Linked DNA regions of Stegostoma tigrinum. The protein of the gene in region 1 interacts with the protein of each later gene in a pairwise test. Links are inferred from orthologs where the notes say so. Each region holds a gene or a part of one and is shown in the gene's direction. Other genes may lie near its edges. The genes, in order: fhl3a, fosl2, zinc finger protein 512B and gcm2.

What was found.
Region 2: the proteins of fhl3a (region 1) and fosl2 interact in binary tests that used the Homo sapiens proteins (3 or more experiments, as listed by UniProt). The two-hybrid records come from large-scale screens. The link is inferred for Stegostoma tigrinum from reciprocal best matches to the Homo sapiens genes FHL3 and FOSL2.
Region 3: the proteins of fhl3a (region 1) and zinc finger protein 512B interact in binary tests that used the Homo sapiens proteins (3 or more experiments, as listed by UniProt). The two-hybrid records come from large-scale screens. The link is inferred for Stegostoma tigrinum from reciprocal best matches to the Homo sapiens genes FHL3 and ZNF512B.
Region 4: the proteins of fhl3a (region 1) and gcm2 interact in binary tests that used the Homo sapiens proteins (3 or more experiments, as listed by UniProt). The link is inferred for Stegostoma tigrinum from reciprocal best matches to the Homo sapiens genes FHL3 and GCM2.

The regions. Positions count from the first base shown.
Region 1 is NC_081377.1:18,276,211-18,284,220, reverse strand, and holds the start of fhl3a (four and a half LIM domains protein 3), read left to right. Parts: upstream 1-4,991; 5' UTR 4,992-5,208; intron 5,209-8,010. UniProt on the Homo sapiens protein: Recruited by SOX15 to FOXK1 promoters where it acts as a transcriptional coactivator of FOXK1.
Region 2 is NC_081357.1:18,018,427-18,025,878, forward strand, and holds the start of fosl2 (fos-related antigen 2), read left to right. Parts: upstream 1-4,438; 5' UTR 4,439-4,566; exon of another isoform or gene 4,567-4,790; 5' UTR 4,791-5,060; coding exon 5,061-5,180; intron 5,181-5,533; exon of another isoform or gene 5,534-5,646; intron 5,647-6,271; exon of another isoform or gene 6,272-6,334; intron 6,335-7,452.
Region 3 is NC_081372.1:31,173,608-31,181,301, reverse strand, and holds the start of zinc finger protein 512B, read left to right. Parts: upstream 1-4,677; 5' UTR 4,678-4,844; coding exon 4,845-4,854; exon of another isoform or gene 4,855-4,938; intron 4,939-5,046; exon of another isoform or gene 5,047-5,711; intron 5,712-7,694. UniProt on the Homo sapiens protein: Involved in transcriptional regulation by repressing gene expression. Associates with the nucleosome remodeling and histone deacetylase (NuRD) complex, which promotes transcriptional repression by histone deacetylation and nucleosome remodeling.
Region 4 is NC_081355.1:41,452,307-41,459,148, reverse strand, and holds the start of gcm2 (chorion-specific transcription factor GCMb), read left to right. Parts: upstream 1-3,823; 5' UTR 3,824-4,051; coding exon 4,052-4,144; intron 4,145-5,041; coding exon 5,042-5,294; intron 5,295-6,842. UniProt on the Homo sapiens protein: Transcription factor that binds specific sequences on gene promoters and activate their transcription. Through the regulation of gene transcription, may play a role in parathyroid gland development.

The DNA.
Region 1 (8,010 bases):
TGATCTAACATCTTTATGACATAGTTCTGAAGAAGTGTCAGACCAGACTCAAAACATTAACTGTTTCTCTCTCTACAGATGCTGCCAGACCTGCTGAGTTTCTCCAACATTCTGTGTCTCATAAGATGCTGCTTGGCCTGCTGTGTTCATCCAGCTCCACACTTTGTTATCTCGGATTCTCCAGTATCTGCAGTTCCCATTATCTCTGTGACATAGCTGTTTTGGCACATGCTCAATAGCTATAACTAGAAACCACACCCCATAACAATGTGATTTACATGGAAGTTCACAGTATATATGGCTCAGAAAGAGGCCATTTGGTGCAAATAGTCCATACGTTTATAGTCAATTTGAGCCTCCTCCAATTCCTCATCTAAATCTACAGCCGTAAATGATACATTTCTTCCTCAAATGCTTGAGTAGTTCTCACTTAAAACCATCGGTAGTATGCTATTTGTTTCAACTGCTCATGTGGTAGCAAGTTCCACATTCTTACCATTCTTTGGGTATTGCGGTTTCTTCTAGATGTCTTGGTGGCTATTTTATATTGGTGGCCTTTATTTAAATTCTTTCTCAAAAGTGGAAATATTGAGCATAATTTAAATGTAATCCATGCGGGTTGAGACCACTGGTTGGAGGCCTGTTGGGAAAACTTTGTCATTCAGTAGGATGTTGAGGGGGAGGCAACTGAATGTAGTACCTAGCCAGTGTAGTAATTGGAATGCAGTCAACTGGGTGGGTCTTGTAGAATGTGTTCCCTGATTGGGGCTGTAAATCTGGGCCAATCAGGGAGTCCTGGCTGACAGATATAAACAGGAGTGTCAGGAGTTCTACTCACTCTAGGACATGAATTTGAACAGGCTGGGTCAGTGTCTTGTACTATGTGCATGTAAGTAAGGGGTGACTTGGTAACAGGATACCATCAACACACACTTGATCTATGTACAGTTTATGAATGGAAGAAAACTCATCATTGTAAACTCCCTTGCCTTTTCACTCTGTACTGTCCAGACAGAATGGGCTACAAGACACCAAGAAACAAGCAGAAAACACACCTTTCATGAGAGAGAGTTTTCACCTGACGTTCCTGTTGCTGGATCCTCTGTCAGTAGAAAGGCTGTTGCATGTCCTCCAAAAATTCACAACCAAACAATATAAGGTGCACAATTTGTACAAAAGAAGACACGAGAAAAATGAGTGCTTTGTTTGTCAAAAAGAGCAAAATGGTCACCTAATGTTCTTAGGGGAGAAAAAAAAGAAAGAAAGCAAATAAATAAACAGGAGTATTATGGATTCTACTCACTCTAGGAGTTGGCTCTGAACTAGTTGGGCCAGTCTCATGTACTATGCACATGTAAATACAGGGTGACTTGATGACAGGGTAGCAGCCTTCATCGAATTATTTCAGCCAATATCTCCAATAATTATCTCCTCTGGCACAAATATCCAGCGTGTCCAGAATTGTCAGCGAATCTGAGGCTAGCAGCTTGCTACCATTGCAATACACCACTAGGGGGTGGTGGAGAGACTTGAGACTGCAGCCAGAAAGACACCAAGCTGAGACATGACTGAGGGTGGGCAGCGGCGAAGGGAACACTGGTGTGAATGGAGTACTGACTAGACAGGGTGTCTGGGATGCTCAGCTTTGCCTCGAGGGAGGGTCTTGGCTCATAGAGGCAATCATTGGGAAAATGGCAAGACCTACATGCACCAGGAGGGAAGACACAGTGTATACGAATAGTTGTGATACAATGAGGATGGGCGGTGGATGGATTCAGGAAGTGTGGGCAGTTGGGAGAGTTTTGGAGATCAATTGCACACGAGTACTGGGGTTTGGGAATTCTGAAGAAAGCTATTGATGGAACTGTGGTCAGATTGAGTGTTGGCAGGAAGGTACAAGTTCTTTGATAGGTGAAAAGAGACTGTGTGCATTAAGGAGGGCCCTCAGTTGTTGTGGAAGAGTAAGCCACCACACTAGGAAGAGTGCACATTGGGATGACTAGTGAATATCAAGATCTCAGAATGAATAACTACAGTTGGGAAACACTCACTCTGGGTGGGAATGTAAATAGTTTGGAAATCTCTTTGGAAAGCAGTGCCAGGACAGATCAAGAAATAAAACAGAACTTGCTGGAAAAGCTCAGCAGGTCTGGCAGCATCTGTGAAGGAACAAACAGAATTAACATTTCAGGTTGGCTGCCCCTTCCTGCATCCGCAGTTCTTCCGTTTTTTTATACAGATCAAGAAATGTTTGGGAAAATGGGCCAGGGAGGTACTTAGTGGCGTGGAATACAGCCAGGATAGGAGATAGGAAATGAGTGCTTGGAACAGGTAAATTGATAATTCACAAGATCATGCAACTTTTGGATGTATTTTTCAGTTTCAGGAAGCAACTTAGAAATATTAAATATTTAAGATTGTTTTGATTTGTAGCAACACACGACATCTGATGTGGGATTTATGATTTGTGACATAATCTTGGGCATACTGACTGATGAATTCAACCATATGATACCCATTTTCCAAGCCAAAACTAGCTCAGTCAATCTCTAATTTAGCAGCTGGAAACGTGTGTGCATGTCTGTTCCAGGCAGATTGGTGAGGCAAATGTGTTCAGGGCATATGCTTGAAACGGGCAATTAATTTCAAAGCAAGCTGGGGGTTGGTGTGGTGCTCACTCTGTTTGAAATTCCCACAGCAGGTTGCTTTGCCCAGTTCTGCCTACATTCAGTAAAATCAGCTCCTGGGGCTGCATACAACCAAATTTATTTATACAAATTTATTTGCTTGAACACAGAGTCTAATTTTCTTTATACCTAGAGCTCCACCCACGCCCCCCTCCCACCACCACCAATCGCCTTTTATTTTGAAAGTTTTCCACTCGGCACACTTCAGATTCGCCTCGGCCTCCAACACTAGCCTCCTTGTCACTCACCTTTGGCACTCTCCACCAATATAAAACCTAACCTCTCAACATGCCCCAGCAACCACTCCCTCCTCCCAACATACATGTAACAGTTGCTTTCCGGAGAGACCACTCTCTCCGTGACTCCCTTGTTCGCTCCACACTGCCCTCCAACCCCACCACACCCGGCACCTTCCCCTGCAACCGCAGGAAATGCTACACTTGCCCCCACACCTCCTCCCTCACCCCTATCCCAGGCCCCAAGATGACATTCCACATTAAGCAGAGGTTCACCTGCACATCTGCCAATGTGGTATACTGCATCCACTGTACCCGGTGCGGCTTCCTCTACATTGGGGAAACCAAGCGGAGGCTTGGAGACTGCTTTGCAGAACACCTCCGCTCAGTTCGCAACAAACAACTGCACCTCCCAGTCGCAAACCATTTCCACTCACCCTCCCATTCTCTAGATGACATGTCCATCATGGGCCTCCTGCACTGCCACAATGATGCCACCCGAAGGTTGCAGAAACAGCAACTCATATTCCGCCTGGGAACCCTGCAGCCTAATGGTATCAATGTGGACTTCACCAGTTTCAAAATCTCCCCTTCCCCCACCACATCCCAAAACCAGCCCAGTTCGTCCCCTCCCCCCACTGCACCACACAACCAGCCCAGCTCTTCCCCCCCACCCACTGCATCCCAAAACCAGTCCAACCTGTCTCTGCCTCCCTAACCGGTTCTTCCTCTCACCCATCCCTTCCTCCCACCCCAAGCCGCACCCCCATCTACCTACTAACCTCATCCCACCTCCTTGACCTGTCCGTCTTCCCTGGACTGACCTATCCCCTCCCTACCTCCCCACCTATACTCTCTCCACCTATCTTCTTTACTCTCCATCTTCGGTCCGCCTCCCCCTCTCTCCCTATTTATTCCAGTTCCCTCTCCCCATCCCCCTCTCTGATGAAGGGTCCAGGCCCGAAACGTCAGCTTTTGTGCTCCTGAGATGCTGCTTGGCCTGCTGTGTTCATCCAGCCTCACATTTTATTATCTTGGAATTCTCCAGCATCTGCAGTTCCCATTATCTCTGATACATGTAACAGTAATTGATCCTGGCATTTCTTTACCCAACCAGATCTGCCATCATTTACCTGAGGGTCACTGCAATGTTGGAGAACTGGCTCGGTTTCATCTTCATTGGCACTGTTAGCCTGATGCCTGGGGTTTAGGTTGCCTTGGGATTATATCATTTGGGCACAGGGCAATGCACCAAGCTTAGAATTGGCCAAATTTCTACGTCTCTATTTTAAATCAATGCAATGGGGCTTGTTTGGTTTGGAGCTCATTTTTGCCAGTTACATCTGTGTTTCCTTTACTCCATGTAAAGTATGTAAACTGTTATTAAATATTTGAAATGTTTTACAAAATGAAAGGGCACAACCAGTTGGTCAGCGTCTGAAGAAACCGGATATGCTTCTGACTCATCAGGCAGGGATCCTGACTGGATCTTGCTGATGTGCTCCCAGATCTTAGTCTTGTTCAATCTTCCTGACAAACTTGTACATTTCTAACCATTTTCCGTTTGAATTTCAGATTTCACTCATCTTACTTGTATAGAAGCACTCGTTGCCTCTGCTGGTTCATAGTGTAAATTAGTGACATCATTAGGACTTCATTCATATTGAAATAGGTTACGTGTGCCCTAGGTACAAAAGCTACTGCATTTTGTGTTGAATAGGAATAAATCACCAGGGTTCCAGGGGATAAAACACATAATTTAGTTCTCGGGAAGGTTGGCACCAGATCTTTCCAGCTGCGATTCTCTTCAGGAGGAAGTAGCATTCACCTTTCTTTCGTTTATCTTGGACCAGGCTGCAGCAGTTGCCTCTTTGATATGATCACTTTGTTATAATGGGCGGATTGAGTAGGTGTTGATGGTGTTATCAGTGTGTAGTGATCGATAGGTCCAAGGTGCCATTTAGTCACACCTCGCGGCGTCAGTCAGTGGAAGGAGGCTCAGAGATGGTTAGTTGTTTGCTAATAACCTTGGCTTGGATACAAGGGTTTTCAGGGCGGGATCCCGTGAGTCACTTCCTGTACTTGTTGGGCCCCTAATCTTCCCTCTGTTCTGCCAGAGCCGTCAGAGCCAAGCCTGCTTCTCTTGCAGACTGTGTCAGGAGAACTCTAACCACTTCCCAAGCAGGAAAAAGCAAGACAAAGCTTTTCAGCACAGTGTGCCTTTGAAGCATTTATGTTAAAGCAGTGCTTTGATCACTGACCTGAGTTCATTGAAAATACAGTTGGTAAGTGTCCAATTTTTTTACTCTCTTGATATCTGACAATCTACTGTTACTAGCGCCGCTCGTGCAGCTTCTGACTCTCTGTTAGGAAACCACCTGGAGTTATGTGTTTTAGGTAGTGTTTCTAAAGCTCCCTGAATGTGCTTTGCCCTGCAGATTATACCCTGCTACAGTGTGGTTCCCCTGGCTATGTAAAGTCATTGAGGCCGTCGTTATGCGTAGATTAAAGCGGAGAAGAAACTGCACATTTTGTTGGCAGCTTCTCTTCGACTTTATGTGGAATGTACAGTTTACAACTGCACTTAAAGGGTCGCCTGTCTTTTTGCTGTTCCTGACCACTGCAATTACCCTTTTGGCGCTTCAGGGCAATTGGTCGTATTTTAAGCAAAATGCCATTAAGCGTCTCAGGTCATCAACACTCAGACACTACAGAACTGAACTGCTACAGTTTGAGGAAAACTGCAGTATAACTGCCTTAATCAGGGCACATGCGCCCACTGTTACTGAGACACCCACTGATTGACATTTACAGAGTAAATGTGAGCTGTGGGACTCCAGAGACAAGTTCTAAAGAGGGGAGTCGCTTTGCAAATTGCAGAGTTTTTCTTTTGAAAGTGAAGCGATATACATCGACTTTCAACAGTTTTACGAGTCCTGAAAGTGCTTCTCCCCCTCGCTCCCGTTATCCTGCTATTTCGTATTAGGTTACCAGCCCAGCATTCATCCTGGACATTCCCTTTTCCTCAGCGGTTTGGCGCAATTTGATACAAAGACATTGTCAAAAGCTAATCGCTTGAGGTCCAAAGAAACTCCGCAGTTTAGACGTTTCAGTAAATCTGTGGATTTTAATGAATGGCGAAGCCCTGCTATGATGCAATCTAGAATTATCCATGCAATCTGAAACGTTTGCGACGCAAAGGAGGAATTTGTCAATTTCGCTTGACGTTTCAAGCTTTCAAATTGGAACACAATTACTTCCAGTTTTAAGTGGAAAAAGATCTGCTGAGTGGATCGGGATGGCGAGAAGATGTGGGAATTGACGGAGCCATAATAAAAGCAAGACAGTGTGGTTTGGAAATAATTAATTTCTTAAAGCAGACCTCTCTCTTGAGTGTAGCACATACTCTGGGAGTCACCTTCCCACGGAAAATGTAGAGAGTACAAACGAACTGTAACTAGTTTCAGAGCAATGTGAAAAATGTGTGATTTCGGTGGGGTCTCTGGTAGACCCTGGTTTAAATATAATTTCCTCCAGCGCCAAGTTAACACACACGTTTACTATGAATGGGCGAAAAAAATGCATTGACAGTTTGGGCTTTTGATACCAGTTCAATCAATATTCCACCAGGAAAAGAAACCCCACCCCCAAATTTCAAGTTTGGATTAAACTGCTTGAACGGCTCGGTACTACAATTCAGGATTTTTTTAAAAAAATCACCGTTTTAATATCTAGATAATAATATTCACTGAAGTTCCAAAAGGGATTTATATATAAAATAGTTTGAGACGTTTGACATATTCGGCAATACATAGATTTCCATGTAAATTTAGAGGCTTCAAATGGCAATTATTTTTGGTAATCAAAGATTCTGACTGGAAATGTATACTTGCTGTGTCACTTTTCAAACAAGTGTCTGTTTCCCCTAGTTTTCCACAGCATTATACGCAAGTGGTCAATTAACATTAGTCCGCGGGTCGGGAATGTGACCCGGGACTGTAGTGGATGAGTATTAGAACCAAGATTATTTTTCCCTCTATAACCTTTAAACACTGAGGTGAACTACACTGGCCCCCATTAACACTCTTCCTGAGATGGATAATGCACTATAGATTATTCTTGTTTTGCCCTTGAATGATGAGGGAATGCTCAGGTGATCTGCTCCTTCGCTAGCCTGACAAAAGTTACACCCTAATTTTCAGAATACCAATTAACTAAATCTGACAGTTTTACAACTCTGTACGTGAGCTGTCAGGTGAGAGACAAACATTTGTATAGCGCTATTTATAATCTCAGGTCATCCCAAAGTATTTTACAGATGGACATACATTTGAAGTTTAGCCAAACAACCAACTTGCACTTAAAAGACTCCTCATTAACAGCAATGTAATAACGACTGGCTGATGTTTTTCTTGTGATGTGAAACAGTGGCAAGGACACCAAGGTTGTTGCCATGGAATCTCTTATGCCCACCTTAGAACAGAAGCAGAGCCTAATTTTAACCCTTGTTCTGCAAGATGGTATCTCTGACAGGATTATTCTCAATTGGCAACTTAGACTTTATGCCCAAGTCACCAGAGTAACCCTTCACAGAATCTCAGAAATGTCACAGCACGGAAAGAGGTCATTCAGCCCATCATGTCTGCACTGGCTCTTAAAATGAGCATCCATTGTCTGCTCCCAATTTCCTCCTTTTTTCCTATGCCCTTTGGACATTATTTCTATCCAAATATCCTTTAGACCTGCTGAGTTTCTCCAGCAATTTCTGTTTTGAATCAATTGAACCTGCCCCCACCACTTCCTGGCTATATTCCAGACGCTAACTACTCACTGTGCGGAAGTGTTTTTATTTGCATAACAATCTTTTACAAATCATTTTAAACCTATGCCCCTTGTTTTTCTTCCTTTTACAAGCCGAAACAGTTTCTTCCTATCTACTGTATCGAGTCTGTTCATTATTTTGGGAACTTCAATCGGATCTCTTAACCTTCTTCTCTCTAAGGAGGTCAATCCCAACTTCTTCCATCTATGCTCCCAACCAAAGTTTCTCAATCCTGAAACCATTCTTGTAAATTACTTCTGTGCTC
Region 2 (7,452 bases), on another chromosome or scaffold:
TCTATATTCAATGCACCGACCAATAAAGACAAACATACCAAATACCTTTTTCACTATATTTTTCTACCTGCAGCTCCCACTTTCAAACAGCAATGAACCTGCACTCCAAGGCCCCTTTGTTCAGCAACACCCCAGGATCCTACCATTAAATGTGTAAGTCCTGCCCTGATTTGCCTTTCCAAAATGCAGCCCCTCATATTTATCTAAATTAAACTCCATCTGCCACACCCTGGCCCATGGGCCCAGCTGATCAAGATCCCCCAGAGTATTTGAGGAACTACATTAACAACCAATTTTGTATCATCAGTCAAGTTCACAGTGTGATCCACATGCACACACTGAAAACTACATACATTAGTACACAGGGTCCTGTTATTGACAGGAAGATTGTTCCAGTGGTTTAACCTAGTGACAATGAAGGTATATCAATATATTTCAAAGAGATAATAGGAACTGCAGATGCTGAACAATCCGAGATAACAAGGTGTGGAGCATGATGAACACAGCAGGCCAAGCAGCATCTTAGGAGCAGGAAAGCCAACATTTTCTGATGAAGGGTCTAGGCCTGAAATGTCAGCTCCTAAGATGCTGCTTGGCCTGCTGTGTTCATCCAGCTCCACACCTTGTTATCTCAATATGTTTTGATGTCAGTTTGGTGTATGGCTTGGGCCTTCCAAATGGTGCTGACCCCATGTGTCTGTTGCCATTGTCCTTTTACATGGTAGAGTCACAGGTTTGGAAGGTGCTGTCCGAGGAATCTCAATGAGTTATTGCAGAAATGATGCACATTGTCAGCAATATACACAATGTTAAAGGGAACACTGCAGGGAATAGCTAGGGTGACAAGAAGTGTTTTTTTTTTCTCCCAGGCTGATGTTAAGCTACTTGAGAATAGTAGAAAGGAGTCCAAGTAAATGTAAAGTATTTTATCACACTCTTGACTTTTGCTTTATTGATGATGGAATAGGTGATGGAAAGTCAGAAAATGAGTTACTTGCCACAGAATTCCATTTTCTAACCTGCCTTTGTAGCCACAGTATTTATATAGTTGGTCAATGGAAGCCCCCAGGATGTTGATAGCAGTGGATTCAGCAATGGTAATGCTACTGAAAGTCAAGAGAAGATTTAAGATATTACATCCTCCCTTGAAGAGGATGGTTACTGCCTGGCACTTGTGTGATACAAGTACTACTTGCTATTTATCAATGTGATCTGAGCCTCACTGATATGAACTGCTTCAGTGTCTGAGGAGTTGTGATTGGTACTGAGTATCATGCAATTAATGGGGAAATCCTATGTGTAAGGGAAGTCATTGATGAAGCAGATTAAGGTGGTTGAGCCTTGGATTCTACCCTGAGGAGCTCCTGCGGAGACACCCTGGAGTTGAGATGACCGATGTCCAACAACCACAAGCATCTTTCTATGTTAACAAAATGTGAAGCTGGATGAACACCGCAGGCCAAGCAGCATCTTAGGACCACAAATGCTGACCTTTCAGGCCTAGACCCGATGAAGGGTCTAGGCCCGAAACGTCAGCTTTTGTGCTCCTGAGATGCTGCTTGCCCTGCTGTGTTCATCCAGCTTCACACTTTGTTATCTTGGATTCTCCAGCATCTGCAGTTCCCATTATCTCTCATCAGCATTTTTCTATGTGCCAGGTGTGACTCCAACCAGTGGAAACATTCCACCATTTCTCTCCCATATATATACTCATCTTGTAGCTGTACTGGAACACCTTGGTTGGTGGCAGGAGTTCGTGTGGTCCAAGGCTTCAGTACAGCTACTGGAATGTTGTCCCAGCCCATCACAATATCCAACACAGAAACAGTCCGTTTAACTGAATGCCATGTCAGCCAGATGAGAGTCCTCCAGTTAACATGGTTACACAAACTAGGATTATTTTCCTTGAAATTTATAAGGCTAATGAGTGATTGTACAATGAGCAGGCTGGGCAGATGAAGAGAAGCTGCTAACTGGAGAGTTTAGCGTTGGGGGCATAGTCAAAAAAACATGAAGGACAACCCTTTTAGGACGGAGATAGTAGGAACTGCCGATACTGGAGAATCTGAGATTACAAGGTGTGGAGCTGGATGAACACAGCAGGCCGAGCAGCAGCAGAGGAGCAGGAAGGCTGACGTTTCGGGTCTGACCTGAAATGTCAGCTTTCCTGCTCCTCTGATGCTGCCTGGCCTGCTGTATTCATCCAGCTCTACACCTTGTTATCCCTTTTAGGACGGAAAGTGAGAAGCACAATAATACAGAAGGGGCAAGAACTGTTTTCCATAAGTAGTAACTAATGCCTGATAAGTTGTCAATTTTAAATCTAAGACGTTAGTTTCTCAAAGATGTGGATATTTTCCCCGATCAGAGGTGTTACTACGTACCTCGGGAGCAGGCAGGGACTTGAACCCAGATCTACCTTGTTCAGAGGCAGTGACTTTATCACGGCGCCACATGGCATACACCTCTTTCCACTCCCCCAACCCCGCCGGCCAAAATGAGAGGGTATAGGACGGAGATAACAAGGTGTAGAGCTGGATGAACACAGCAGGCCAAGCAGCATCAGAGGTGCCGGAAAGCTGACGTTTGGGCTCTGGACCCTTCTTCGGAAATGAGTCGAGCTGGAATTCAGTAGCACTACCCCTCCCCCGATTCCTACTTCCTCCCTCAGGCTTCCCCTTAAATGCAACGAAACGGGGCAGCTGCCCGAACTGTTCTGCATGACCCATTCGCATGTCTTCAAATAGTACTGTTACAGAAGCCGTGCCACTACTGGAAAACGGGCAGACAGTATCCTTTACATTTCCTCCGACTAAAACTAGTCTTTAAAAAAAAACCCAATATCTAACTCATCATCTCCTAACTGCCCCCCTGCCCCCGCCTCCATAGGAATAAGGTCACTCTGCTTCAGGCCCATGAATGCAAGAGTTAGAGACATTTCGGGCAGGTTTTGCATCAACACAAGGTTTAGAAATAGTTCAGCTCTGGCGCAGGGTTGCGTCTTTTTTAAGAAATGGAAAATATCGCTCACTATATTTTAACCTTTAGCACCAAGAAATGGTAAAAATAAATGTGGGTTTCCAACACATGAGAGCCTTTGCATGATTTTTTCCACATGGAAACAGGCCAGGGAGTGTGAACCGCCCCCTTCTCCCCACCATCCTGTACAGTACGTGCAGTGTGTCACTTCGAGATAACAATGCGTGGAGCTGGATGAACGCCGCCGGCCAAGCAGCATCTCAGGAGCAGGAAAGCTTCCTGCCCGGTGCAGCGATAACTGTTTACACTGTGGGGCGAAACGATCACGTTTGGGCTAAACTCTTTTGGACTCGTGTGTGTTTGTCTGCGTGTTGGGGGGGCGCTATCCTAGTGGACTGGAAGGTGATGCCGCCAGATACACAACTTCGAACTAAATTTGCATAGAACCCAGTAGACAAAACGCATTTCACTTCGCTTCCCTATTGCATACTCAATCTGATACTTGTGACCGTTTTATTCCAGTAAAAGACTCTGAAACACACTCGGGATTTGGAAAATTGAATGAAGCCGTCAGAAATCCTTTAAATAAAAAAAGTATCTTCAAATTTCTGTGGCGACGAGGCATGTTTTGTGGGAGAGAAAGCGTCTTGGTGGCTCCCAGCTTGTGTGTATGTCTAGCGACCCTTTCCCCTCGCTTGTGGGCGCGATATCTATCAGAACCGCGCGAAGGTGTAAGCTTCTGCCGTGGGCACACGATTTCCTGTCTCCTCTTTCCCTCGATCTCTGGACGTGGATCCGGCAACGCTAAGAGGGAGGAGCCAGCGACAGCTACAATGGACAGGGACGGGCGGTGGGGTCTTTGACTTTTGCGGGGAGGGGAGGGGAAGGTAAAATATTTGGAGAGGGGGAAGTAGGCGGTGCAAGGCAGCTAAATCATTGTGGGCAGGAACGCGCCCTTGAGGCTTTATTCTCAGAGAGAAGTGGGGGGGCGGCGGGTAGGTGTGTGAGTGTGTGGAGGGGCGATAGAATCTCTGTCCAACAACACGAAAAGGGAATCCCTCCACACAGACGTCACGTTAACCGAGGAAACACACACCTCGCATCATTTGACGCAAATATCCATTTTTAGGCAACGCGCTACGTCAATGGACGCTACCACCAGCCAAATCTTACTCATAGAGAGAGAGAGAGATACAGACCTCACACAAGATCCTTATGTCACAACTGTTGGTTTACAAATAAGTTCCTTTAAACAATAAAAAAAATTCTATGGACGGGCATATGAAAACAAAAGGTCAAAGTGGAAATTAAGCTTCGAGGTGCAGTGGGGAGGGGAGGCTGTGAATTGCTGAATGTCACAGGGAGGGTGGTAGTGTGGAAGAAGCTATCTCTGGGCTCGCTCCCTCCCTCCCAGAGAGTCTGAGAGAGGGCTGGGCGGAACCAGGCAGTTTTGACGTGAATCCTGAGCCGCGGGAGTGCTGGAAATAAAAAGAGCAGAGTTTAATACCAGAACACTGACTCATCAACGCTCGGGCGAGGAGAAGGCAGCAAACGCGGAGACTAATAGAGTGAGGGGAGGGAGGATTGGTGAGGAGAGGAGGTGGGGCGGTGCAAAGGCGAAAAAAAATTAGTCACTGCGGGGAAAAAAAAGCGATCAGACCCGCTAAAGGGGGGGCCGAAAAGTGTACGAAAAGGAAAAAAAAAGTGACTCTTTTTTATAAAATATTAATTAAAGTTTCAACTTAGAAAGAGGAGGGCTGGTGTGGAGAGCGAATCCAGGAAGTTTTATGGATTTTTTTTCTCTGTTGCAGAGAGGAAGACTTGTTTTAACGCGTGGTGAATGACAGTAGCGTGGAAAAACTGAGGAAAAAAGTTTGTCTTTTTTAAAAAAAAACGGACTTGCAAATTTTTTTGTTTGTTTTTGTTTATTTTTGGAATTTTATTTTTGAGACATTTGGTTAAAATATTATCGGAGTGACTGTACCTGGGAGAGATTGGACGGTCGGTCCAAGCTTTAAAAAGTGGGAGAGGAAAAGAAACCCCCCGTCTTCCTGTTTTCCCGGGGGGGTGGGGGGGAGACCATGTACCAGGAGTATCCAGTGAATTACGATTCATCGTCCCGCAGCAGCTTGTCTCCAGCTCACCAGGACAGCGTGTTCAGCAGCTCCGGGAGCGGTGGCAATTTCAACAGCGCTTCTCAGGTAAGGGCTGGGCTGGTTCCTCACGCATACACATTTGAACCCCCCAAAAATAAATTTTATGTACGAATTTTGGGGTTTCCCCCCCCCCACCCACAAAGTTCGCCACCGCACTCAGGTTTAATAATTTTGTATTTTTTCACACTATATTGGAGTTTTCATAACCTGTCGCTGGCCATACCCGGTGATGTCTGGTGTGTATCTGTGTGCAAGAGTCCTCCTTTCGGCCCCCCTCCCGCTTGCCCTGGACTCATGGCTTGTGTGTTGCTTCGTGCTCCCAGTCGGCCGTTGTCTGTCAGAGCTGGCGCTCTGTGTTTACCACACTGTGTCGTGGCGAGGCTTGCTAAAGCGCCTGGCGCTAGTGTGATTCACCAGGTTGTTGGAGCGGAGCGGCGTCAGATGGTCTCCTTTCTCCCGCTGAGTGTCTGCAGGTCATGTTTGACGTGAAGAAGTGACACCTTTGACATTAGTGAGTAGCTTCAGTCACGGGCTAACGCTGGAAGGAATTTTTCACTTTCTCTCTTTAGTTTGTAAATTATAACGCCCCATTCGCTCTCGTCCCCCCCCCCCCTCTGCTCCAACAGTAGCCCTCCCTCCCCAATCCTGTTATTCTTGCTGTTCAGATTTCGTGTGAAACTTGACAAAGGGCAGGGAATGGCATTCAGACGCTATCAGTGTTTCCAATATTAAACATCCTCAACTTGCCTGAAAACCAGCATTTGGTTTTAACCGGGCTAACGCAAAGTTGGTCCAAATGTCGTTAATAGGAAACAACTTGTGAAGGAAGCACCTTCCCAAATATCGGAGTGTCTGCATTTCCATTTAAAAAAAAAATCAAGCCTCTAGTTTATAAGGACTGTAATTAGATTTGAGGGGAAAAGTCCATTTCTTTCCCAGATCAGGGAATTCTAGAGAGCTGTCATTGTAACTCTAGCCCTGATTTCTGGCCGCCCTTATTTGTTTTATGCAATCTTTCTCGCACGCTGTTCCTGGCTCTAAGGTTGATGAAGAAATGATGAAGAAATTGCGCAAGTCAAGAATTGGCTGGAGTTACAAAATCGGTTTCGTAACTGTGTGTGTTTTCAAAAGAAAAGTCTCCGGACTCTTCTGCTGCAGCTCAGCAGCGGAAATCATTACCCAGCCTCAGAGCCAGCACGGTAAAGTGTAACGAAGGGGCTTTCACATGTTATCTTTACCTCGCTCCCCCTGCCCTCCCCTCCTCTTCCCTTTCCTTCCTACGATCCACAAGCCAAAATAAGATTTTTATTCCCCCCCCCTCCACGAAATCTCAATTTCCAAATCTTTTCCGGGTAGCGCTTGGCAGCATTCCTCCTGCTCCTCAGATTTATCCCCGTTCTTAACTGGAATTCCTGTTAATATTTGGTAGCGACTGCCTTCATTTGCAGGGTTGGTGAGGTGGAGAGGCGCTTGGTATGGGGGGGGGGGGCGGGGGAGAGTGGCGCGGTGGTACACTCAGCCCCACCCTTACTTGCCGTTCCTGGGCCTCCCAACTTTGCATCCTGCTCCCTGGACTGAGCTCTGTCAGTTGTGTGTTTAAGTTGTTGACTTAGTGTAAATATGCAGCTATACAGGCAACTTTGTGACCACACCCCACAGCTCCCTCTCCCACCTCCTTCCTTTTTTGTGCACAGTGGGTGTTTTGTTGGCTCTCGCAGCTTGTGGCTTGAAACCATACCGGATTAGAAAATTTCTAGCTTTTATAGCATTTTTTACACATGGAAAATTTCTAGTACCCCAGTGATACATAGTGCACAATCTGTCCATGCTTTATGTCTCCATCTCCCTGGGCTCAAATAGGCGCTATTACGGGGTCCTTGTGGCCAAGGCTAGCTAGGATTTCTTTAAAGTTACATTTCCTTCCAGAATCTCTAACTTTCTGTCTGGATGTTTTGGCCTCATGACCTTGCAATAACAGATTTTGAGCTCACGCCTAAAGGATAATTGATAGGCTTCTATAATACTTGCCAGTTTTCCTCCTTCCAAAGAAATCACAGGAGACCAGGAGGTTGTTCAGCCTATCAGGGTCTGCCCTATCCCCACAGACTAGTGAATGTTTTAAGATGCTTACCCTACTTGCTGTTGAAAGCCACAGTTAAATCTGCCTCCACCACACTCTCAGGCAATGCATTCCAGATCCTAACCACTGGCTGCATTTTTTTTGAAACCAAAAATATTTTCATGTTTCCTTCAGTTCTTTTGCCAAACTCCTTAAGTCAGCACCCTGTGTCCACAGTAGGGAAAAGGAACAGTACGA
Region 3 (7,694 bases), on another chromosome or scaffold:
ATTGCTCTACAAAATTTTACAATTAGAATAAATGAATAGAATAACTGCAATTAATTATATATGACCTGTGGTTATTTGCTTTTGTGACAACTCAGTGCATTTAATATGCTCAAATTATTCAAACTTTGTTGCACTTTTCATAATGCCACACATAAGTAGTTTGGTGATGTTGTTCCATAAATTTTATGAATAAAGGTATTTTTTAAAACAAACAAAACACAAGAGCTTAAACAGCCGGACTTTTGCAGCCTAAACTGTAATGACTCAAAGTGAACATCATTCATTGTGTCATCAAAAATACATACTCCAAGAAAATAAAAAAAAGTTAAGAAATCATTATTTGAAAGATTTTTTAAAGTCCTCATCAAGCTGCAAGATAGTATTACTGGGAAATGGAAGACATGATTTTAGCTGTTTTTGCAATGTCTTTAGCAATATTTGAGAAAGGAAAAAATTTTGCCCATGTCCTGTTGCAACAATGTGCTACACTGTAAACTTGGGCTGAATGTCTGAATTGGAGCAATGTGTTATTTTTATTAGTCTCATTGACTAAACTCTGTAGGCTCAAAAAACAAGAGTGTTCATTTAGTGTTCATCAAATTGTGGGACAATGCCAGTAAGAACTTGATTAATCTGAGATTTATCATCACCAATTTGCAGTCACCTGATGTTTGCATTTGGCCTGCTGCCAGCTGCCTGGAGAATTTGGAGTTCAGACTCCTGATGTGCAAAGGAGGTTTGATTGAATTTTAATTTGTTATTTTGACATTACTCGTCTATGAGTCAGGTTTTGTCAACATCTGGTAGCTTTAGATACCCAAGCTAACTGGACTGATTGGCAGGCCACCCAAGTGAGTAGGAGATAAGCTAAGTTAGAGAGCAGCTGCTAGGTTTCTTGGCTTTGAGCTCCTTGCATTATTGGACATCTCATTGCCAAAGTCAGGTGAATCTAACATTTGGTAGCAACAAAAAGTCTGCTGTCTGATAGGTAATGTCAGCAACCTCTCATTGTGGAATTTAAAGGGAGACTCAATACAGCAGCCTAATTGAAGCCACAATTTTCCTATTTATGTGACAATAACCGCCTTGTGGCTTCATAAGTAAAATGGAATGATAATCATTATTGGACCATTAGTGATGTCAAGCCTCGACAGTGTTTGTATGACATGATTCTGGTCATCAATGTGTAACATTTTTCTCATGAGTGTTTTATGCATTAAAATGTAACATCAATTTACACTCCATATCTGTATTACACTTTTATAGAGTTCTGTGATCATATTTATAAAAAGAACCTACACAAGGAAACTTGTGCTGTAATTGCATCGGCAAAACTGGAGAAAAGGGCATCAGATGACGGGAACTGCAGATGCTGGAGAATCGCGATAACAAAGTGTGGAGCTGGATGAACACAGCAGGCCAAGCAGCATCTTAGGAGCACAAAAGCTGACGTTTCGGGCCTAGAACCTTCATCAGAAAAGGGGGATGGGGAGAGGCTTTTGAAATAAATAGGGAGGGGGGAGGCAGATCAAAATTGGAGAGGAGACAGGCAAGTTAAAGGGGCGGGGATGGATACTCACCTCTACAGGCTCCATCCTCGCCCCCCCCCCCCTTAACTTGTCTGTCTCCTCTCCACCTATCCTCTCCACTATCCATCTTCGATCCGCCTCCCCCTCTCTCCCTATTTATTTCAGAACCTTCTCCCCATCCCCCTTTTCTGATTAAGGGTCTAGGCTTGAAACGTCAGCTTTTGTGCTCCTAAGATGCTGCTTGGCCTGCTGTGTTCATCCAGCTCCACACTTTGTTATCTGGAGAAAACAGTATTGTTTTTACAAAATGTTTACAGGGACAGTTTCCATTATGAACCGGATCAAGATTTGTCATAGAAATACTGTGTAGCCAAATTCACCTCTAACTTCACTTACAAATCTGCTGATGATGCCACCTCTGTAGATCAGATCAGAGTACACGAAAGGGGCAGCCAGCTTAGTGGCATGATGCAAAGACAACATTCTCTCTTGGGATGTTAGCAATATGAGTTGTTCATCAACTTCAGCAAGTGGAGTGGAGGATGCACCCCTGTCTGTATCAATGGTGCTGAGGTGGAGGTGGTCGAGAGTTTCAAGTTTCTTGGTGTATGTGTCACCAATGATCTATTCTGGTCCATCCATGTTGATGCTACGGACGAGAAGGCACATCAATGCTTTTACTTCCTCAGAATGCCATGGACATTTGGCATGTCTACAATGACTTTTACCAATTTTTATAGATGCACCATAGAAAGCATCCTATCTGGATGAATCACTGTTTGGTATGGCAACTGTTTTGCCCAAGACCACAAGAAATTAGAGTAATTTCTCTGTCTACACTTCATGCTACCTTGGGAAAGCAGCCAACATAATGAAAGACCCATTCCACCCCTGTTTTAGTCTCTTCCACCCTCTACCATCAGACAAAAGATATAAAAGTTTGAAAATGCATACCAACACATTTAAGAACAACTTCTTCCCCACTTTTATCAGATTTATGAACAGACCTCTCATATATTAGAGTTGATCTTTCTCCGCACCTTCTCTGCAGCTATAACACTATAATTCTGTATCCTGTTCTATTACTCTGATTACATACGTAAGCTATGATTTGTCTGCTTAGCAAACAAAATAATACTTTCCACTGTATCTCACTATATGACTATAATAAATCATACTGAATCAAAATGTACAAATTTAACTTGGGAGACCCAATTTGCTTTGTGTTCTTGTCCAAATGCACCAACTGAAGACAAACATTTTCTAGTAGAATGTGCACAATGTTCTGGAATTTGACACATACTGTATTATTGTAATGGAAACTTATCAAATGTACACCATTTATTTTGTACAGGTCCTTCATTTTCTTGGTTTTAATATTGCATTTTATGTATTGCCTGATTTCTATGTGATGATTTGAGCTTCAATCATTCAGTTCTGACAAATCTCATGTTCGTCTCCACAGATGCTTCAGACCTGATACTTCCAGCACATATTGTTATTGATTCAGGCTTCCAGTACGAACATTTATTTTTCTTTTGTGACTAGATAATTTATCCACTTTCCGTCCTGAATGATTTTAAAATTTTAAATTTCACTTCTATTGAAGCGAGAAGTGTAAGCGATGAAAAGTTTCATCTGCCATACTCCTGAACAGCACGCAAACTCTCGGTGAACAAGGAAAAAAAACCTTGAGTTTGTCGACACTTCTTATCTTACGCTGATAGTCTAGGGTGAAAGCGTTCTGCACTTGTCTAATATATCTCTTGCGATTGACCGCATCCAACTGCGTGCTTTTGAAAGTATTGTGAGCAGCAAATTGCTCTAGCAATAGGAACGATCTATCATCCCATCAAAGTGATACGTAGCTTACGCCCTTAGATTTTGCTTACACCCAAAAAAAACTTACGGTGTAAGAATTGTTCCCTTTTTTGTCCTGAATATTGATTTGTCAGTTACGAAACCTCTCAATGAACTCAGCTGTTCTTTTGACTTTTTATGCACTTTAAAAAAGACTTCGCACAATTCCTTTTCCACGTGATTTTCAGCATCCCAAACTGAGACATTTTACCTTGTTAAATCGCGTTATGAATTATAAATTGTTTCCCCACTGTTTGAATTGCTGTCCACCTTTGCGAATAAATGTTACTTGGCCCATGTCGACAGTAACAATTTTACACAGATCACAAAAATAAACCACGCATTAGTTATATATTAACTTATTCCAAGACGATTTCAACACAATTGTTCTGTAATGTAAGTAGAATGCTAATAACTGACTAGATGTAAAGTTAACTGCACCGTTTTCAGGCCCGGATATTACTTCGTGGTTCTTTATCACGTCGAATATGGCACGTTAATTTTCAAATTACTGTCAAGTCTCTCACCTTTGTTTTTAGTTCAAAATAAGACATGATTTTCAAAAGTGGTTGTTCAGACTAAACATGAAAACACAAAGCACTTTATGCCCCGAAGAGATTTTTCTACTTTTATCTTGGACATAAATTGGGCTGGTCTCGAGTTGTCGGTAGGCGTTGTCAAATCTCGTCTCGTAAAATATTTTGAGATACTAAGGGCCTTGTTGTTGAAGCAAATTTTTGTTTATATTTGGAAAAAAATAGTTTTAGTCGAGTTTGGACAAAATAAAGACTGCTGCAGATAGTATTACATAAACACGAAGTTACATTTGTGAAGGAGGTGGAGGCAGTTCTTCTGTAGTTTCGACTTGGGTCGCGGATCCTATTTGTGCAATGATATTCGATGCAAGTATGTAATCTGTCGTCTGTTCTTGGCAGGCACGAAGCAGACATTTGCAGCGTTGAAAATGCAGATTTGCTGCTTGTGCTGGAACTTGAAAATCGTGCAGCACTAAATAGTAACGCGAGAGTTGAAACTTACCTCCTCACTGTACAACTGTCAAAGGACAAGTGGAATCGCGCATGACCCAGGAATAGAGTCTACTGTAAGGCCCTGAAGATAATAATCTAACCAGAAATTTTAAGGTAAGATGCCCGATTTTGTGAGAGTCTCCCTTCCCTTTGGCCGCCGCCTCGTATTTTCCACCTTTTTCTTTGTTTTTACTCTTGCGATTGTCGATCGATCGGGGCAACTTCAGGTGATGCAAAATGTTTTTATGCCTCTTTTTTACGCGGCCAGCTGAGTTTGCCTGCTTCTTTAAAATGTCGCCATTTTGCCTCAGTGCTACCGCAAGCTCATCTTGCTGTCGAGCTGGACAAACAATGTTGCAGCGTTTGCGATCGTTACAGTGTGTGTGTGCTGGCGAGTTGAAGGAGGAAGTCGGCGTTTTGTGTGTTAATGAAGGAAGGTGAGAGGTTCGAGCCCGGGGGAGAACGTCAGAACTTCTTGTGGGGTTTTCTCCTTTTTTTTGAACTGGGAGCGCGCTGCCTGGCGCGCGTGCACGCCCGGATTCCATGTTGAGGGCTGGCGCGCGCCCGCCGACCGCGGTGGTGGGTGGTTTGGGAGCGCGCGCTCGTGCCCAGCTTGCACCCCACGCCCCCCGGCCCACACCATCATCAGTGCTGGAACATCCCACCAAATGGGCATCTGTCTATTCGATGCGAGTCTCATGGGGCATAAGGTTTTGCCTTCATGTCTTGTACTTGGATGGAGTTCTTTACATGTATACATCGAGCTGTGGTGGAAGGGAAAGCCAAGCACTCCAGTTGCGGTCTTGTTTTGGTCTGGCCAGGATTTCATTCCGAGGGTGTGCCAGAGTCCAGATTGTAAAGCCAGTGCCCCGAAAACAGCGCTGTTAAAAGGCAAACCTGCTCACTCGGGTGAAACACGGATTGAATAGAGGTGTTCAAAATTAAATTATGGAAGGTCTCGCTGGACTGGAGAAGGAGATACTGATTCCTCTGGCAATCAGCCAGAGAACTGAAGGAAAGATGAGACTTCTTCCACACAGAGGGTTGTTCAGATCTGGAATATGTCAACTGATGGCGTGATGGACACAGGTTAGATCGAAACTTTTAGGCAACGTTCGATATCTACGTGGAGAGGACTAAGTAGCAGACTGTTGCGGGAACGGGTGGTGTGGCGGACGGAGTGGAGAGCGATGCGATCAAATTCGTTAACACCTTCGCATGATTGGTTCAAGCATCACAGACTAAGTGGCCATCTATGCTCTAAGGTCGTGCGATTAGTGACTTTGCCAAACAGGTGCCCACAATTAATCTCAATTCATTATCCAAAAAAGGAAGATTATTAAAGAATGAATCAAGTCTAGAACAGTAGAGAGGATTAAAAAAAAAACTGAATGTGAGGGGTCTCAGTCTGTTGCAGGTGGATAAATGACAAGGTGAAGGCACTGACATATTGAGTTAAAGGGCTAGAGGTGCTTTGGTGTTTGTAGGAACAGAAGTTGTGGTTGATAATCATGACAGAAGTTGAAGCAGGTGGTGACAGCTTTGAGTTGATGAGAGGCAGCATTGTGTCTGTGAAGTGAGAATGACAGGCATTTATGTGTGCCTTGCATAGCACTTGGGATGTTTCAAAGCAAAGTTACTGTTCTGCACAATCATAGAACAATACAGCACAAATGGCAATTCAGCCCATTATTGCCAGTACTGACCCCCTTATAAAGCTATCTAAAATAGTCTCTCTCCTCTGCTCTTCCCTATAATTTTCCTCCTACATTTATTTAGCCAATGCCTTTTAGAAAGCTACTCGTAAAACTACTCCACCATTTTGAGGCATGTATTCGAGATCAAAACAAGTTGCTATGTATAAACTAATTCATCATACTTGCTTTTGACAGTCACCTATATCTAGGTCCTCTAGTTGTTCAACCTTCCCTAAACAATTTTTATCTTTTTTCACTCCTTCAAAGTTATTCATAAATTTGCATACTTCAGTGAAATGTGCCAACTTTTGCTATTCAAAAGGAGAAAACAAGCTTCTCTAGTCTTTCCACGCAAGTGAAAATTCTCCTTGCTTGTTCCATTATAGTAAATTACTTATGTATTTCTGGAGTCTTCTCACCAAGACCTTGACATCCTTAGTGTGGTGACCAGACTCTGAGGTCTGACCAATGTTTTTCTTTAAAATGAAATTAAAAAATGTATGGCAAACCTTCCTTGTTTTTACTCTTTTTTTTCCTCTAACAGGAATATCAAAGGTTCCCTATAGCTTCAAAAACAAAAGCCTGCTTTGACATATTCTGTCACTTTCAAAGATGTCTCTATTTCTGCATCACCTTTAAAATTGTTTAATAATTTAATATTGCTTCTTATTCTTGTAACCAAAATAGACCAATTTGTAGTTCTTTATCTGACATTTGCCTTGTCTACCCATTTGACCAGTGTGTTTTTTCTTCTGAATTCAGTTTTTCTTCTCTTCACTTGCTGCTAAATTTCTGAATTTGATGTCAACTGCAGATTTTGAAATTATCCTGTGAAATTATATTCAAAAACAAACATGTTTCTAATATTGACCCCTGGAGCGTATTCCTGCCTGCAGACATGAAAATTGACCATTCACCACAAAACTATGCTTCCTGGCCCTTATCTAATTCTATATCCAAGCGACCTTTGTTACGTTATTCTATGAGCTTCAGAATTACAAACAGTATACAGCATTTTGTAAAATGACTTTTGGAATTATGTATACACAACATCAACTACAAAAACACTGATGTTTCCAAACTCCACTGAAAATGTTGAATTTATACACATTAAGTTGCATGTGCTCTTAACTGACTATTCTTCAAGATTTTAAATGCTTTTTGGTTTAAATAAATATTGAGTCAATATTATTACATTTTCTTAACAAAACCAGTAACAGTTACTCAGGACAGCTATCTCCAACTGTAGGACGTTTTATAACATCATCATAAAATCTGACATTATTTCACAGTAAAACCCTTTGCTTGTCACTTTTTACAGATACTTTTCACATCAACGGTTAGTATCCAATTAACAAATATTGTTCAGATAATGTGTAATTTTTCACTATCAGCCTAAATTCTTTGACAGTTTCTCCACCCCAACATCCACGTTCCTGCAATCCTGCATAACATCATCAGCTCCCCTCCACCAGCATCATCAATTTCTCCACCTCCCGAGCTAACATTCTCAGCTCCTCCACAAACGCTTACCATACTCATCAACCATCTTCAGCTGGACCGAACCTATTTACAGGTAT
Region 4 (6,842 bases), on another chromosome or scaffold:
TTTTTATAAATGACCTGGATGAGGGCGTAGAAGGATGGGTTAGTAAATTTGCAGATGACACTAAGGTTGGTGGAGTTGTGGATAGTGACGAAGGATTCTGTAGGTTGCAGAGAGACATAGATAAGCTGCAGAGCCCCGCTGAGAGGTGGCAAATGGAGTTTAATGCAGACAAGTATGAGGTGATGCACTTTGGTAGGAGTAACCGGAAGGCAAAGTACAGGGCTAATGGTAAGATTCTTAGCAGTGTATATGAGCAGAGAGATCTCGGTGTCCATGTACACAGATCCTTGAAAGTTGCTACCCAGGTTGACAGGGCTGTTAAGAAGGCGTACAGTGTTTTAGCTTTTATCAATAGAGGGATTGAGTTCCAGAACCAAGAGGTTATGGTGAAGCTGTACAAAACTCTGGTGCGGCCGCACTTGGAGTATTGTGTACAGTTCTGGTCACCGCATTATAAGAAGGATGTGGAAGCTTTGGAAAGGGTGCAGAGGAGATTTACTAGGATGTTGCCTGGTATGGAGGGAAGGTCTTACGAGGAAAGGCTGAGGGACTTGAGGCTGTTTTCATTAGAGAGAAGAAGGTTGAGAAGTGACTTAATTGAAACATAGAAAATAATCAGAGGGTTAAATAGGGTGGATAGGGAGAGCCTTTTTCCTAGGATGGTGAGGGCGATCACGAGGGAGCATAGCTTTAAATTGAGGGGTGAAAGATATAGGACAGATGTCAGTGGTAGTTTCTTTACTCAGAGAGTAGTAAGGCAACGGAACGCTGTGCCTGCAACGGTAGTAGATTCGCCAACTTCAGGTACATTTAAGTCGTCATTGGACAAGCATATGGACGTACATGGAATAGTGTAGGTTAGATGGGCTTGAGATCGGTATGACAGGTCGGCACAACATCGAGGGCCGAAGGGCCTGTACTGCGCTGTAATGTTCTATGTTCTATGTTCTAAAAATAAATACCGCAATTAACCAACTGATGTGACTCAATTCTTTATGCTAAAATTGAAATACAGAACGATTTTATTTCGAAATAATTTTGAAGGCTTTTAATGGAATTCTTAAACCTCCTTTTTCATGTTGCCAGTTACAATTTTGTCGCCACAATTCAGTTCTTCAAACATTTCACGTTCGGTAAAATCTTGATATTTTCCCCCCTATTCGTTTGATACGACATTACTAAGATAGTGGTGTGTTCAATTTGTATTTCTGAGGTATTCACTTCGTTTGTAACTGTGTGGTTTGAAACTGCCTTTACTTAGCTCTTCGGTAACTGCCATAAGTTCTTAAAAGCTCATTGCTGCTTCATTTATCGGCTAATTTGATTGCTCCAGAATTTAAAATACCACAGAATTCCTAACTCTTGAAAGTATGGGGCATCAATCTTTAAGAATTATTAATAATTCTTAATATTCACATCTACCTCAGGTTTGAGCAGGGTGGCAGTTTACTTTATATCAAATTTACATCACTTCCTTGAACATTTCTTTGAAGGAGCTTTTTCTTTGTTTCAAGAAGCCTTCCTGGTTTTGCTATTGTTTTGTCAACTTGATTCGATGCTATTTAACTAATGCGACGAAGAAGAAAAACGGTGTTTTCCAACCTAGTGCACTTCCGAATTAGAGTTAAACAAATGGTTAGATTCCTGAAGAGCTTGGATGTTTGCGGCATTTGGCAAATGGAAATTTAAAAAAAACACTTCCCAATGAAAATATTATCCAAAATACGTTAAGATCGTGTGCTGTGTTCCATTGTGTGGCTAAACTAGGGGAGATCTTATCTTTTAGGAATTTAGTTCCAGTAACGGGGTGGGGTCGGGGAGTGCGTTCATGTACTCACTACTGGTTTAAATTTCTTGGCCAATATTGATTTTATCTTGCGTTCAACTTTGGTTCAATTTGGTGTGAGTACTGGTTGTTATTTTGTTTGGTATCTATTTATTAATAATCAGTATTTTGAGGTAAATAATTATTTATTTTTATGTCAAGTATGCAGATTTCTATGAAGGAAATGCGCGATTAGACCAGTAGAGAGCTCAGATCATGAAATGTTCAGACGTTAGCGCTCTGACTTCCTTTTGCTGGTCAACTTTTTCGTGCTAGTGGGACGTGAGCTGGGGTCGGGGTTGATTAACCTTCGTGACGAATATTTGTATCGATTTCGTTGAATACGATCATTCGATTCAGTTCTAACTGCAGAATATTCAGTGTTTCCTCTCATTCTAACTGGCATATTTTTCTCATATATTTTAAATGTAACTTCAATGTTCCGTTTTTAAAAATAGAGTCGCCGTAGTCCTGCTCTGTCATTGGAAACCACTAGTGGTGATTTGACATGGGTTGGAGAGGAGACTCCTTTGTGGTAACTTCAGCTGGTGTAGGAATGGAACCGACATTGTTGGGGTTAGCATCACTCTACATCACAAACCAGTTGTTCAGCCAACTGACCTAACTGGCCAGGCAGTGCTGTCTAATGGCTAAAGAAATCGTGAATAGACCATGGTTTCATTCTGATATGCAGACTAATTAATAAATGCTCTGCCAGAATCAAGTGTAGGAACAAGTTTGGCTACAACGTCAGACAGGTTTCTGAATCCCAAACTGAAAAATCTACGAGGTTTACACAAAACAATTAGACAACGGGTTTGCCTATTTCTCTGTTTGATTCATTACACTCGGAAAGGTTCCTCTTTAATGAGACAAAGTGAAGCAGTGTTTAGCAATGTTGTTATATAAATAAAGGAAAGGGCAAAATACCCTTTACTTTCAAAATGCACAACGTCGTGCATGAGGAATGTTTTCCACCTCATCTTCGCTTGACCCCGATTGATATTATTTAAATATTCTAATTGTCATGCACCCGATTTTTAAAATACTAGTTTTCAGTTGACAAGCAATTTGCAGAAATTTAATTCACGCTTTTTTAAATCGCAATGTTTGAACTAAAAATCAATATCCAACCTTGTAAAATTTCCAACGAAGGTAAACGTTTAACTGTGGAAATAACCCCATTTCTTGCCTTTCTAGCTTGTATCAAACTGCATCTCGAGTCTTATCCCTCTCACCGAACTCAGATTCACAAGTAACAAAAATACAAGTACTCGATGATTAGGATGCATTGTGTCATCTCCAGTTCAAAATAACCTCCAAAACAACTTGAAACGCCCCAACAATCAGCTACACACCTCGAAGCTCACTTTGATCTATGGTGAAATGAACGGACATTCATTTTCATTGATACTTTCACAGGATCTAAACGTTCGTCTAAAATTCGCCATATGTTCTACACACATCATAACACCTGTGTATTGCCCACATTAGACAGACGGTTTGGTAGGACGTGATCACCTTCGTGCTGATAACGTTTTTCTTCAGTTGTTAAGGAATCGTATGGTATCAGAATTCCAATAAGGCAAGTTTACAAATGTTTATTACAAATGTTTTTACATGGTCATTTCAAGATCTCTGCTGACTTTGTTTTGATGTGGGATCTAACCTTGAATTTGTGGTTAATTCCTGTTCAATTTGCGGCTGATTATGTCTTTGGAGGCTGCTGTATTTGAGACACTGGCAGGCGGGTCATGTTGGACTGAATGTCTACGTGCAGATTAGAACAGGCTATCTTCGTAGGTCACCAACACGGTTCACCTGACATGAAAGCTAGTGCTGGTGTTCAACTCCTATTCAACTGTGTCAAAAAGTGCGTGTATCCTGAATCAGCGCGAGGTTAACCGGGGATGTAGGGAGTGTTCAGAACGTCTTTTAAGGTTTCAGATAAAGAGCCGCAAAGCGGCGCGTTGCACTCCTCGCGGCATCAAATGGGACACAAATGCCTAAGTTGGTTTCCGTGAACACGAGCACTTCCTGTCAAACTTTTTTTTTCATTCCGTGTATGTTTTGCCTCTATTAATTCATACCTCCAGCATCTTTGACGATTCCTTCACTCTGCCGTTTATTTTGCGCAGTACATGAACCGGAGAGCTAGTGGAGTCCTACGCCAGCCTATGTCACCTTGCGTCGTTGAGCGGAGCTGATTCCTGGCCCAGAGACAAGATGTCTAAAGGGGACCAGTACCAAGATGCCGACTGCGTGTGTTCTTACGGGATGAAAATCACCTGGGACATTAATGACCCCAAACTGCCCCAGGTAACTTTTTTGTAAAACATTTGTCTTGTAGGAGAACGCGCTCAAATGTGATATTTCTAGCAGAATGGTAAAAGTTATAGTCAAATGTCGTTCCTCAAACGAATTTTGAAATCCTTGAAGTTGGTCGAGCAGGCTGGAAAGATCAATTTGGAACAGTCTTGCTTATTTTTGTGCTTCTTCCATTTGAAAAAAAAATTGTGCATATTGTATTCATCTCAATGAACATTATTTTAATGTTTTCAATTCAATTTCAAAAGTTAAATTGGAAACATTTTGAAATAAATAATTTATGGGGTAGAGACAGGATCAGAGTCGTTCTGAGGACGACAATATTTTAACCAGACCTGAAACAAAAACAGAAATAGCTGGAGAAACTCAGTAGGTCTGGCAGCATCTGTGGAGCGAAACCAGAGACAATATTTCGGGTCTAATGACCCTTCATTGAAAGGTCCATACCTGTGGATTTCAGCAAATGATTCTGTCCCTGCACCTTAATATTAACGCCCATTTGCTGGTGATTTTAGCTCGTTCCTTTGGAAGTGCTTAATAGTTTAAAATCTAATGTATTTCAAAAGAAAGTCGACAATTTTGGGTTGGATTCGGATGTTCTGAATGGCAACAAATGCAATTTAATAAAATTTGCGATAAATTTTACACATGCAATGCACATGTAAACCAATTTCAATTTGATCGTTTGGATTTACTTTAGAGAGAGATTGCAGATTTATAAGTAAGACATAGATCTAAAATTGATCTAATAATGGTCTAAATTTGGCCTCATAATATGCGTGTGGTATGGGGCCTAGAAAAGGGTCACGTTTGCTTTTCTCATGTAATATTGTTTCTCTGCTGCCTTATACAATTGAAAATAAGTCAATATTTGTGTGTAACTCGCAGGATATAAAGCAGTTTGATACGTTCCAGGAATGGACAGATGGCTATGTACGATATATTTACACTGCAGATGATAAAAATGCGCAAAGGCACCTTAGTGGTTGGGCCATGAGGAACACCAACAACCACAACTGCCAAATCCTGAAAAAGTCCTGTCTCGGAGTAGTGATCTGCGCCAGAAACTGCACCTTACCTAATGGTGGCAAATTACAGCTCAGACCAGCCATCTGTGACAAAGCTCGTCAAAAACAGCAGAGTGAGTAACTCGCAGTCTGGTATTGTATATTGTTGGATTAATACAACTTTATTTATAGGAGACTGCTTGTTTCTAACAGATTGAACCCGATTTGCATCAGGAAAGAGAATGGCTGCCGGTATGTACCTTGTAAATATTCACTCAAAGGTTTTGGGCAGCTGGCAAGGCCATCAAATATTGCCCATTCCCTAATTGCCCAAGAGAAAGCAGTGAGCTCATTTCTTTAACCGCTGCTGTTCTTTTGCTTTAGGACCACCTATATTGCTGTTTGGATGAGAGCTCCAGGATTTTGACAGACAATCATGTAGTTTCAAGCCAGTATGGTCTGTAGCTTGGAAGGGAACTGTGGTGCTCCTGTACATCTGCTGTCTTGCCCTTCTAGATAGTAAAATATTACTCAAATATCCCACTCACCAAAGAACAATTGGGCCTATTTGAAATCAAAACAAAGGTTTGACGGGAGGAGGGAAAGGTAAAACATCAGATAGGGATGGAGATGGGACTGAATCTGCTTATAAAAAACAATTATTTGACAACTCACTGGATGTGCTGCAATACAATCTTCTAAAATATATTAGTATAAAATACGTTATGAAGGAAGCTTGTTTTTTTTTAAGAGTTCTCTTTCTCTGCTCTAAAATCTTAACTTCTCAGCAGGTGGACTTGGAGTGATTTTTGATTTGGTGCTCAGTTTTCTATAGTTTGAGGCATTTCTTCACTTTCCAAAAGTACTTGCTCCATACGTTGGATTACAGATGCCCCCTAAAAGAACCACAGTGAAATTTTTAGATTCTTTCTTCAAAATAAACTAATCAAAGGAAATTTATGTAATTAATATTATCCCCTTTCTGTATGTATTTCTGCATGTAAGTCTCACAAAATGCTGAGTATATTGAAACTTTTCTGGGAATGAGCCAACCTATTCAATCTAATTTTGATTTTGTTTAAATTGTGATCACTACAGAATTAAAGAATGTATTACAGCTCAGAGATATAATTTTCTCAACACAATCTAAACTAAAGCTGCTAATTTGCATGCAATTAAATATTACCATTTTTCAAGCAGGTACCCAATTCCAGCCCTTTATTGTAATTATGTATGATTAAATTAAAACTGTGATCATTCATTACTGTTTCACCAAGCAGTACAATAAATCTGTCACAATATATTATGTTACAATTTTTGATAACTTGGAAGAGCTCTGTCATTTTACACTTAATCTTTTCAGATCCAGTGATCAGAAGCCCTAACTTCTCATGTCTCTTTAAGAACTTGTACCTCGTTGGTGGCACTTAAGCCAGAGACAATCAAAAGTGGTTTGATATTTCTAACATGACTACAGAGGACCAGGAGCCAAATTTCCTGACATCCACAGGAACTTTAAGTAGAACATTTAATATTTCATGATACCATTGTTCTGTTATAAAGTTTTAATCATGTGGAATAGGATGGGTAGCTGATGGATGCACATTGTATTGAAAATCGAACAATTGCGTGTAATTCTTCTGTCAGCAAGTGAGAAACAGGGAATGTACTCTGCAACAAAA